3 linked regions of the Callithrix jacchus genome follow. The protein of the gene in region 2 purifies or fractionates together with the protein of the main gene of each other region. This does not show direct contact. Links are inferred from orthologs where the notes say so. Each region holds a gene or a part of one and is shown on either strand. Other genes may lie near its edges.

What was found. The genes of interacting proteins can lie anywhere in the genome.
Region 1: the proteins of SIK2 (region 2) and PPP2R2C purify together in Homo sapiens (affinity purification with mass spectrometry; 3 studies listed by BioGRID and IntAct, counting the BioPlex papers as one, with this or other methods). This does not show direct contact. The link is inferred for Callithrix jacchus from reciprocal best matches to the Homo sapiens genes SIK2 and PPP2R2C.
Region 3: the proteins of SIK2 (region 2) and PPP2R2A purify together in Homo sapiens (affinity purification with mass spectrometry; 3 studies listed by BioGRID and IntAct, with this or other methods). This does not show direct contact. The link is inferred for Callithrix jacchus from reciprocal best matches to the Homo sapiens genes SIK2 and PPP2R2A.

What each region holds. Positions count from the first base shown.
Region 1 is NC_133504.1:186,790,556-186,794,603, reverse strand, and holds the start of PPP2R2C (protein phosphatase 2, regulatory subunit B, gamma), read left to right. Parts: upstream 1-1,248; coding exon 1,249-1,435; intron 1,436-4,048. UniProt on the Homo sapiens protein: The B regulatory subunit might modulate substrate selectivity and catalytic activity, and might also direct the localization of the catalytic enzyme to a particular subcellular compartment.
Region 2 is NC_133511.1:11,304,730-11,308,764, reverse strand, and holds the start of SIK2 (serine/threonine-protein kinase SIK2), read right to left. Parts: upstream 2,801-4,035; 5' UTR 2,657-2,800; coding exon 2,522-2,656; intron 1-2,521. UniProt on the Homo sapiens protein: Serine/threonine-protein kinase that plays a role in many biological processes such as fatty acid oxidation, autophagy, immune response or glucose metabolism.
Region 3 is NC_133514.1:15,258,894-15,262,826, forward strand, and holds the start of PPP2R2A (serine/threonine-protein phosphatase 2A 55 kDa regulatory subunit B alpha isoform), read right to left. Parts: upstream 2,801-3,933; 5' UTR 2,490-2,800; coding exon 2,483-2,489; intron 641-2,482; coding exon 566-640; intron 1-565. UniProt on the Homo sapiens protein: Substrate-recognition subunit of protein phosphatase 2A (PP2A) that plays a key role in cell cycle by controlling mitosis entry and exit. Involved in chromosome clustering during late mitosis by mediating dephosphorylation of MKI67.

The DNA of each region.
Region 1 (4,048 bases), on a different chromosome or scaffold from region 2:
TAGGGTGCAGCTCAGGGGCCTAGAACTGGGCCACCATGCGGTGGAGTGGCCTGACCTTTCTCCTGAGGCCTGTGGCACTCTTTCCTTCCCTCTAATTTCCTTCTTCTGCTCCCTGGAGAGTCCCTCCTTAGCCATCCCAGCTTCTCTCCCTTCTTGAGAGGGGAGGGGAGGAGAAGGAGGAGTAGGGGGTTAAGTGTGTCCCTGTTGTTCTTTGCTTGCCCTTTGTGCACGCTGGCATCCTGGGGTGCTGTGCTCATAAGGTTGAGGCAGCTGAGAGATCCCAAGAGGGCCAGCGGCCCCTGGTGCCTCAGGATCACCCGGGGAGCACGCGCTCTCACGCTCTCTCCTCTGTCCCTGGACGGGCTTCTCTGACCCTGACCCTTCCCGCGGGACGTCCAGTCTCCTCCTGTGGGAGTGGCGGATTGCTCTCCCTCCTTCGTCTGTTGCACGTGGAAGGTCGGAGAGCACGCCGGTGAAGCTCCCGCCCCTGCTCATGGCATTGATTGCTGTCCCCTTCGGATCCCGGGGCGCGGGTAGGCGACCCCGGCTCCCAGCAGGGCGGGCCTGGGGAAGGGCAGGACGTAAAGGGGCTCAGAGCAGAACCCGAGTCCGGAGCGGAGCCCCGCTTTGGCCGCTTACTCCGGCTGAGCCCTTCCCCTTTTCCGGTCTCCGTTTCTCCTGGATAAAATGGGCATCGCTGTGAGGCAGGCGGCCCTCGCGCGGTGACGGCTGGCAGAGGCGGCCAACGCGGGACCAGTGGGTGGGGTAGAAAGGGACGCTTCGGTCCGCGGCGACAGCCCCAGCGCCAGCACTCACACCCCGCCCGGCGCCCTGCCCCGCGCCCCGGGATCCACGCCGTGCGATCAGCGTCCCGGGATCCTCGCCCCGCGCCCACCCTCGGCGCCCGGAGCCGCACCCCGCGCCCCGCACCCGCGCTCCGGGCGGAGCCTCCTGGGCGCGCCTCCCCGCCCGCCCGCCCGCGCAGGGAGCCGAGCCCGGAGGAGGCGGAGGAGGAGCGGCCGCCGCGCCCGGCCCCCCGCAGCCGCCCGGAGGACGCCCGTCGCGGTCGCAGCCTGCGGAGCCGCCCATGGCCCAGCAGCAGGGTTAGCCTCGCCGCGCGCCCCCGCCCCCCGCCCCCCGCCCCGGGCCCGCGCTCACGCGCCCTTGCTGTTTTGCCAGCTGACCGCGCCCCCGCCGCGCCCGCCGCGCCCGCCGCCGACCAGGGCTCCTGGTGCCTGTGCCAGCTCAATGGGGCCGCCGACCTCGAAGTTTCCGAAGGTAAGCGCGGGCTGCAGGGCGCCCGGCCCCGCCGCTCCAGAGCCGCCCGGCGCCCCCATGCGCCTCGCCCCCAGCCCCGCAGGACCTCACCCTGCCTGGGGACGCGGCCCTCGGGTGCGGGACTCCGGCGACGGGAGGAGAGGGCGCGTCTTCGCGGGTGAGAAGCGGGGCTCGGAGAGCGCGGGTGCCGACCCCGGTGCGGTCCTGGGGCAGGGCGGGCTCTGCTGGGGTCGGAAGTGCCCAGGTCCCTCGGGAGTCCGTGCTCTCGGGTCCGGAGGGAACCCAACAGAGCCGGCTTGGAACCCTGTCTCCAGCACTCGTCCGCTGCGCGAGCTCGGGCAGATCGCTCCACCGGTGTCAGCCACGGCGTCTCGGCCGAGAATCGGCGCGCAGAGCCCCCGTCGCTCCTCCGCTAGAGGTGCGGGCGCGGGTCCGCGCTGAGTTGGGGGTAAGACCCAACGCCGCGGAGTTCAGTCCCGGTCGCGGGTTCCATCCGCCATCCAGCCGCGTCTACGCGCTCCTCGCGCTGCCCCAGCCGGTGGGTGCTGAGTCAGGCCCGGCTGCTGCTCCGGTTTGGAGAAGCTTTTTTTTTTTTTTTCCCCAGCTGGCAGGGGACAGCCCATGACAGTGGCTCGCCCAGAGCCCGAAGAGCGTTGGTGGGATGGACAGCTGGTCCCGCACCCTGGGGGGTGACCTGGGCTGGCTTTTCTGCGGAGGGTCCCAGGGACAGGGGCCACTCACTCTGTGGCCCCAGAGGCTGCCCCTCCTGGATTGAATCCTGGGTCCACCCTGACTGGCCGCGTGGCCTTCAGCTAGTGGCTTACTCTCTCAGGGCCTCAGTTTCTCTTCTGTGAAATGGAGATGACGTTGCTCAGAGGGCAAGTTGGGCTGGTGAGGCCCCAGGAATCTGTTTTCACTCTTCTCCTTCTTCTTCCCTTCAGGGGCCCAGTGAGGTGGGTGATGGAAGGTACAGAGGGCTGGTGGACCTGGGCAGGGTGTTGGCCTCTGCCACTTTATATAACAAACACACTCTGTTCCAAGAGCTTTCAAATATCCACCTCCCACCACATCATCCCCATCATAGGATAAGGAAACTGAGGCACAGAGAAGTTAAGTAACTTTCCCGAGGCCACACAGCTGCCAGTGGCAGAGCTCCAGAGGCTTCTTCAGGGTGGGTCCTCCTTGGCCTGTGCTTGTAGTGTCACAGGAAGACATCACAGGGACACTGTCAGGAAAGTGGAGGGGAGGGCTGTGGCAGGGAGTGGGGCCTGTTGGCCGCAGGTGAGCTCCTCGGCCAGCTCTCAGTGCTCCCACAATCTGCTGCAGCCGCCTCCTCGGTCTCATTGTCCCCCACGCTCTGACCACGCCCTGGCTGCCTGCTCATGCTCAGCTCCCTCCAGGCCCCTGAAGTGTCTGTTTGCCACCTCCCTGCTGTGGAGCAGGGGTTTCCTCCCACCTGGGTTGCCTTCTCTGTCCCAGCTGTCCCCACCTCTGGGAATAGCCTCACTTCTTGAGGGCAGGGACTCATCCTGTCATGCCTGCAGGACACTGACTGTGCTTGGCAAATCGAGGCTTCTCAGTGTGGAATTGTTGAGTGTTGATTAGAGAGTGCGTGAGTGAGTGGATGAGTGAATGCCACATGGCCTTTCTCTGCTTTTCAGAAAAGGGGTAGGCAGGCTTACTATAGAACCCTCACCACTCCTCTTAGGACTCTCCAGAGCCTGCCTGGGGCTGGCAAGGGGTCACAGATCTTCGGCCTGGGAGTCAGTCCCTGGGTTCTAAACCCCAGTGTGTGTGTGTGTTTGTGTATGAATCTGTGGCTGTGTCTGTGTGTGCATCTGTGTGTGTATCCAAGTGTGTCTGTGTATGTCTGTGTATCTCCATGTCTGTGTAGGTGTGTCTGTGTGTGTTTGTGTGTCTCTCTGCATGTGTCACCATTAAACTCTTCTTGGAATTTAAAAAATTGAAAAATGAATGCATGATCAGATGCATCTTGGAAAAACGCAAAACAATACGGACACGGTCGGGGTAAAAGGTGCAAGTCCTCCCCTATCCCCACCTCCTTCCGACCCAGGACCAGCTACCTAATTTGTGAGGCTCAGTGCAAAGTGAAAATGCGGGGCCCTGTGTTCCGAAAGTAGGGGGAAGTGTGGTGAAAAGCACTCACTTTCTTCTGCGCTTTCTCTCCACCTGTCATGGTGGTTTTATTTCCTATGTAACGCCGTGTTCCTTTGGGCATAGGGATGCTTGCAGGCTGAGTGCAGATGCTTACAAGATACCTTCTTCTGGCCAGGGTCAGGGAAGGTAGTGTGGAGTCAGGAATCTCCCCTTCCCGCAGGTCTGCAGGCCCATGCCCTAACCCACCATAGGTGGGTAGCCCACAGGGTGTTGCAGCCTCAGGTCTGAGACACAACTGGTACCTGTCGTTCCTGCTGAACTGCCCATCCAACACACAGTGGTACTGCCAGCCCAGGGAAGGGTGGTCACTGCCATGCCTCACCCCAGCATGATACCTAGACCCAGGTCCTCGCCAGGGGGGGAGGGCAGCAGCAACACTGGGACAAAGAGGAGGAAGGGCGGGGTCCAGGGTGCTGGAGGCCGGGGAGGTGGCAGGAAGCAGGAACACACACTCCATAGGCACAGCACAGGCTCTGCTGTCCATCAGACATCGCTTAGGAAACACACACTCATAGATAAAGCGATTAGGAATTTTGTGACTCTGCAGAGCACGAAACCCCACGCTCCAGCCCCTTCCAACTCTGAGGTCTGT
Region 2 (4,035 bases):
GGAAAGCTGAGGCAGGCAGATCACTTGAGGTCAGGAGTTCGAAAGGAGCCTGGCCAACGTGGTGAAACCCCGTCTCTACCAAAAACACACACAAAAAATTAGCCAGGTGTGGTGATGCGCACTTGTAATCCCAGCTACTTGGGAGGCTGAGGCAGGAGAATCACTTGAACCAGGGAGGCAGAGGTTGCAGTGAGGGGAGATCACACCATTGCACTCCAGTCTGGGCAACAAGAGCGAGACTCCGTCTTAAAAAAAAAAATTCAGAGCAACTTTACAACCTAGAGATCTACAGAACTTTTCCGTTCAGCGATTGCTTTGACATTTTACTTATCCCTCTCTACCTTAGTATCTCCAATCATACCCACCAAATTACAGATACACTCACCCAAGTCAAATTCACACTATTTCTTTTTATATGTTAAGAACTTCTTTAGAAAAGCACAAGGGAAATGGGTTCTGTGGACTAAACAGTTAGTCAATTCACACAGATACTACACACACGATTTAGGATCTAAGTCCTCTTTCACGCTCTGACCAGTGCTTTCAATTACAAATGAATGCACTGATCTCACTCGGATAACCAAACCACGATATTACTTCATAGTGCCCCCTAGCTCTTTAAGATATATCAGTTTAAAAGGGACACCATTTGAATTGTCAATCTCAAGAGAAAGCGTCAGTCATTCTACTTATGCAGCTCTTAAATAGATACTGTATTAACTAAATTTGACTTGATAAATAATAGATAACTTAATTAAATCTTGCTACTAATCCCAGTAAAAGTCGATGAGAAAAAAATATTGTGAACTGATGGATTTGGAATTCAACCACACAATATACTACAGTTCAAAAGTTTTGTAGGATCTCTCTATAACTCACAATTTGTTTGCTTTCTGAAAGATATTAAGCAAGGGCTCATAAAATGTGCATTTAAAATGCCTTCTTTTATGTAACTTAAAGGGAAATGCCATGGCATTAGGCCATGGCTCTGCAGAGGAATGGAACCCATTTCTTCATTTTAAAAAATACTGGGATCAGATTAAACTATGATAAGATTTATCAATATCACTATAGTCAAGTTACCATTATCATTACAAAGAATCTAAATTGCTAACAGGTAAATCTGTGAGAAGAAAATATCTGACCTTGGTCCTGATTCTAAAAGATAAGTCAGATTTGGACTGCTTCAGGATCAGCAGAGGAAGACAAAAAGTAAAGAAGACAGAATGACATATACCCCTTCCTTCTGGAAATGGCATTAAGCAAGACTTCTGAGTACAACTACAACTATAAAAATTACTCAGGTTTGCAAGTGCCCTTCGCCTTATATAAGTCATTCTGAAAAAAAGTCCTACTTTACTCTACATTCAAACTCTAGTACATTCAACCTAATAAGGGAAAGAGCAGAATAGGACCAAAACTGGGGTGGAAAAAAAAAACAAAACAGGAAAAGGATGAAACTCCAGGAGGAACTACAATAAGGCAGAGTAGAGTACGTCAAAACGACTAGGTTTATTCTAAAGAATGGTTTTGTTTCCACTGTTCTTCTAAGGTATTTAATTTGCACGTCTTAAAATAGAGACCCTGAGGAGAGCAGCTTGAGGCAGTGGAAGGAAGGGGGGCGGGTTAGGTAAGAACAGAGACTTGTGAGAGAATATGTGCGGTGCATTAGAATGTGCAATGAAGAGAGTGCAGGATTCACCGTCAGGAAGCAGCTGAGGGCTTTATGAGTAGAGGCAGCATCTGATGTGGTTTAAAGAATGCGTATTACAGCCAGAATGCACACCTGGTACAGGGACAACCCTAGACAGGAAAAATCAACCCACTTTCTGTGCAAGTGCAGAGATGACCATTTTAACCAGTTCTATTGTCTGGAGCATTAAATGGAAATGCCCCAGGCAAGAGATCAAGCTAGCCAGACACCAAATCAGAGACACCGTGGGGCAAAAGGAAGGAGAGAAGATGGACAGTGGCCGCGCGGACATTCCCAGCCACGGGGCCCTTCCTCGCCAGGCAGGGGAGGGGCGCCGGGGTCACGGGGGCCGCACGATCCCCCATCTGCGGAGCCCAAGCACAGGCGGTCCCCTCCTCGGGCCGGCGACGTCTCTCACGGCGCAGCCTGGGAACACCGAGACTTCCCCTCCCACCCCACCCCCAGCCGAAAGCAGGGAAGACGCGGAACTTGGGCTCCGGAGCGGAGGCCACAGACCAGGTCACGGCCCGACTGGGGGCTCTGGGCGAAATTCCGGGTGGCCACCGCGGGCGGCGTAGGGAAAAGCAAAGCCCTGGCTGATCGCGCTTCCAGTGGAGACACTGGGGTCCGGGTGCCCGGGCCCAATCCCTTCGCTGCTCACCGACCCCCTGCACCTCCTGGGTCCTCACAGTCCCAGGCCCACTCGCCTCCGTCAGTGGCGCGGCCTCTCGGGTCTCCCCGGTCCCACCACTGCGGCCGCCCCTCTCTGTAAGCAGCTCCTCTCCCGAACCCTCGCCTCCGACGCTCCCGCCGAGCCCCGGGCCGCACCTCCGTCTTGGTGATCCGGTGCCGCGCCAGCTTCACCACAGCGAAGTTGCCCTTGCCCAGCGTGCCCTCGATGTCGTAGAACCCCACCCGGACCGGCCCGCGCTGCAAGTGCCTCGGGCCATCCGCCATGACCATGCTGGGCCCCGCTGCTAGACACGGCGGACAGGAGCGCGGGCGGGCGGGCGGGAGGGCTGGCAGCGCTTCTCGGCTGGGGCGACGGCCGCTCCGCTTGCTCCTTCGCTCCTTCCCTCCCGCTCCGCAGGGCCCAGCCAGGCGCGCGCCGCCGCTGACGTGCGCCGACGTCAGGGGGCCGGGGAAGGGGGACGGGGGCGGGCCCGGGCCTGGATTGGTCACCATGGCGACCAGAGCACCGCCGTGGTCGGCGACGGGATGGGGAGAGTGGGGGGAGGCGCGCGGGGAGGGGCGCGGGCCGGACCGGCGCACTCCTTCCGGGCTCAGACGCCCTCCTCTCGCCTCTCCGCCTCGCCGCTGCCAGGGGCGGGGTCGCCGCCCGGCCCGCTCCATTCCTCGGCCTTCCAGGCGAAGGGCAAGAGCGAGCCCTGGCGGACCGTGCAGAGCGGTGCAGAGACCTGGATGCGGCCTGAGGTCTCCTTCCCCATCCCGGCGTTCTCTGCCCACCCGGGGACCTTCCCGCCAAAACCTCTCACCTACAAGGACAGCCAGCCCTAAATTTGGCACCGGCAAAGAACTGTGGCTGAGCAATGCGTTGCTCACAGGCTGTTTCCTTTGTATCCTTTTCTCATCTCGCTTCTATCTATAATAAACCCCTCCACGCTTTGATGTCTCCTAGGAGTCATTCTGACAGCAGTACGGTCGCTTATAGACTCACTATATATGTCAGCGCTGAAGAGACCTTGGAGATCACTCAATCCAGAGATTTGGAGCCTCAAATGAGCTTCCAAGTCTGGAACTCCCTACAGCACAGGCCAGTTTTTGCTTATGTGAGCATGTCTCTGCAGAGATGGACTCGTAGCTTCTATCAGATTCCCAAACGTGTTGGTGACCCTGAAAAGGTTAAGAAATATTTCTGTAATCCAATTTTTTTTTTCTCCAGAGGACGAAGCAGACCGCAAGGAATAAAGGGAATTGCCAAGGTCACACAGCGAATGCTAGAGGCAGAATTATAAATCACACCACGCTTCCAAATATGACCCAAGGAAACAGGGACAGTGACACTTTAATATTTTGAAATATATTATGTGCCTTCATATCTTGGTTTCTAAATACCATTCTTCACATAAAGGAGTCAGACTCCGTGGCGAGAAGGCTGATTCGAGGGCAGAGACAGGGAAAATACAAAATGCCCTTGAAAGACCCTGTGCCTTAAAGCAGGGAGGTTTCTTTGCTATGTCGAGGAAGAGATGTCAAAAGAAAGGAGATGTCTTGAAGGTGCCCACCCTTACCAAATCTGAGACAATTTGAGAACCAAGAATAAATAATGATAGAAATGGATTCTAACACATTGAATTTTTTAAAAGAATCCATAGAACCTA
Region 3 (3,933 bases), on a different chromosome or scaffold from region 2:
AGCAGTTACTGTCTTATCCACCTAATTACCAGAAAGACAACAAAATGAATAATGTGAGCTGTCATCTCTTCACAGACTATGCCAATCAGCACTACATTCCACAGCAGGCAAAGTCAAGAGAGGTTAAGAATCTTCCCATAAAAATTAGAGATGCTGCTAAGAATGTTTCTGAGCCAAATGTTGATGGCACCTATTTCAATTTACTTATCTAAAAACAATGTACAAACACAAAAATGCATCACCATTTATTTCTATGTGGAATTTATATAACAAAGAAACCCTTATATGGAGCTCAGAGCTTTCATGTGACGATTCTATATGTCTAATCATCTATCGCTCCTTTCACGTAAATTCAGAGTAAAAAATAAAAACAAGGCATAAATTACAAAAGAAACTTAAGGCTGTATTTCAGAAACGTAACTTTTAAAACTGTTCTTACATTTCTTGGACAATAAACACAAAATCATCTTGAATTTTTAATAGTCTTGGCTTCAAGGAAATCCCTCAGGAAAGATTTCTGAAAAAATTATATATCCAAATTTTGCATTATTAAATGCTTTCTTACCTTCTGCTACATCATCATCTACTGCTCCTTTCACCTGAGAAAAACACCACTGAATATCATTCCCTCCTCCAGCTCCTGGAAAGAAAACATACCAATTAAAACTGAGTTCTGCTCATGTTGACTCTCGTAAACAATCCACGGTTGGCATGATCATGACACTAACAGCTTAGTTTTGCCCACACATACAACCACCACCAAAAGCACCACTTTGGAAAAAGGTTAGTCCCCAATAGTTAGTACTGTATTAAAAAGAAAAAAAGGTTCCAGGTATGAAATCTTTAAAGGCGTATGTTCTGTGGTCATCATACATCTGTTCACAAACTTCCCTTCCTCTCAAATATCTTAAAAGGCTTACACTCAGGCAAGACCTACCAGAAAAGTGTAAATACCAAGAGTTAAAGAGTTTTCTTTTTAAGTGTACAAAAAACCTGCAGAAGAGTTAATAAGGTTAAACTACCATGAAACATAGAACGGAGAGAAAACTTCGGGAACATTACTGCCTGGGTGAGGAGTAATGATTCATATGAACCCTATCACCAAAGTGCACACACAGCAAACACTACACCCATTTCTTTGCATTCATTACCAGCAAATCACTGGCTCCAGACAGAGAGGAAAAGAAACCAAAATGAATGCTGCTAAAGAGACTGTCAAAGGAAGCCTGTTCTGCCTCCCTTCACCTCAGCCCTCCACTCCGAAGGACCTGGCAAATAATTCATTTCGCTAGTATGTCATCTCGTGCAAAACAATTTTAATCTCATTTCATCATTAAACACGGCCAACAAGCAACTTGTTTTATAGCAAACCGTAAGTCAATCCGACACGTTAACTTTTTCAAATGGTTTAATTCTCTAAGTAATGAATACAGCACGGTAAACTGGTCTAATCTCGGAATGTTTCTATTTCACGTGCAAGTACTGAGAACGAAATGGTGAAAACGTCCTGAGACTCTAGGGAGAAAGACACTGAATCTAAATCTGGAACCCATTCTACTACATGAAGGAAAAGACTTAGCAACACCAACATGTACAAAAAGAATTCTCAAAGCAATTACATTACTTCTCTCTCCCCTGTCACCCCTATTCCTTGCTAAATTTATTTCCAAACTGGTTTTCTCTCTACATCCTTTCCCCCCCCCTCCAAAGCTTCTACCTAAATCTCTCTCCTCTTTGCTATTTATATCTCTGAACTCCGCAACTATTTTAACTAACTCTACCAAACCCTTTTGGGAAAAGGACATCTGCAAAAAAGCTAACATGTTAAACGGAAAGTTGAAATTATGTTTTTCATGCAACTTGCTGTACATGAAAGGCCTTGCACTCTTCGGTGGTAAGAGGGAAAGAAACGGAAAGGAAATGGTTTGAAACAAAAAATTTAGGCTTCCAATCTCAAAAATATTGGCATCCACAGTGGGGGAAAAAAAAGACACATATGGCCCCACTGCATTTTAACTTGTAAGGCGCTCTTCTTTCTCAGTGCAAAATAATGTGTATATACACCCAAGAAGGTTTGCAGCAGGGGGGGAAATAGAAATTAAATGAAGACCTGCAGGATAAAATGAAAATAAAGACGGGGGGCGAGGTAGGAGAGGATCCACCCGGCTCCCGAGCGGGAGAGACAAATCTGCACGCGCCCCCACCCCGCCCCACCCACGCCTCACCCCAAGCTCGCCGGCACACCCCACCCCCACCCCCGCCACGGCGCCAGCTCCGTTCTCCAAGCCCAGTGGCTCTCGCCGCGACCACTCGCCTCCCCGGAGTCCTCCCCGCCTCCACCCCACCCCCCTGGACCCCACTCCCTCAAACCCGAGGGGCGCCCCGTGGCTCCGCGCAAGGCGCGGGCGGTCGCTAGGGGGTGATGGAGGGAGGAAGAAGGAAACGGTGCCTTGTCAGGGGGCAAGGGGAATTTCTCCTTTACCTGCCATGTTGCGCTGCAAATGGTGACCCTGCGGGGTTCCTCGGGGTCTCCGCTTCCTGAACTCACCCCCCTCACCTGGGGATGGGGGGGTAGAGAGGGCGGATGGCGGCGGATGGCACCTGCGGGGGGAGGGGACAGGGGCTGGGGGAAAAGGAAGGAGGGGCGGGCAGAGCAGCCGGCAGGATGCTAGATTTCACTCTAGGGCTTCCCCGCTCGTGCTCTTTCTCCGGCAGCGGCGGCGGCGGCTACGACAGCGACGGCGGCGGCGGCAGCGGCAGGGGCAGGCGACTCCACTTTCAAAATGGCGCCGGCTGGCCTGGTCAGTGACGTCACCAAGGGGGCGGAGCCGCCGGGCTGGGCGGAGAGCAGAGGGGGAGGGGCGGGGGAGAGGCCGGGCGGGCTCCTGACCACGCCCCCTTCCTGCTGCGCTCTTGCCCCGCCCTCCGCGTCCTGGCCGGTGCGGCCTGTGACGCGCCCGCGTCTCGCGGTGGCGCCCCCTCTGCCCGTTCCTCCTGCGCCGGGCCGCGGCTGTCTGCGCCTCGCGGTGTCCCAGCCCCTCGCGCTAGCGCCGGGGCTCTGGGGCGGGCTCAGCTGTCCAGTTAACGTGCTCGTCTGCAGGAATTCTTGGGGTCTTGTGCCTTTTTTGAGAATACCCGTATTGCTACTTAGGAAAGTGTCGCTTTGCGCCAGCCCTGACTCCACAAAGGAAGGGACAGCAGTGCAGACTCGCTGCTCAGCCGGGATGAAAGTTCACGGGGTTCAGAGGGACACGCTTGGGCTGGTTCCATCTGGGTGAATTAAATGACCTTCGCGTGGGCCCCAGGAACCAAGACGGGAGTCCTGGGCACTGCGGCCACTAAGGGTGGTTTCTAACAGAAACCTGAGTTTGCGATGAGAAGGGTATGGCCCGAGAAGTAGCTTGGGTCTCTCCAGCTAAATAAACAATGGTGGAATCCGTGCTTAAGAGCTGGGCTCAGGGTGGGGCGCGGTGGCTCAGGCCTGTAGTGCCAGCACTTTGGAAGCCAGAGGCGGGAGGATCACTTGAGGCCAGGAGTTCCAAGTTCAGCCTGGAGAACATAGGGAGACCCATCTCTACCAAAAAAAGAAATAATTTTTTTTTTTTTTTTTAATTAGCCAGGTATGATGGCGTGCCTATAGTTTCAGCTACCAGGAGGCTGCGGTGGGAGAACTGCTTGAGCCCAGCAGGTCAAGACTGCAGTGAGCTGTCAGCCTGGGCGACAGAATGCATTCCTTTCAAATCTAAACCAAACCAAAAAAAAAAGCTGGGCTCTGAAGCCAGGCTGTCTAATGTGATTCCAAGGCTCAGCAGATGAAGATGACAGTCCTACCTGATAGGATTGTTGGTGAGATGAAATGACTTAATTTGAGCACATGATAAATGTTAGTTGCCGTTATTATTAGATTTGTATTGAAAGCATCGTCAGTAAGGT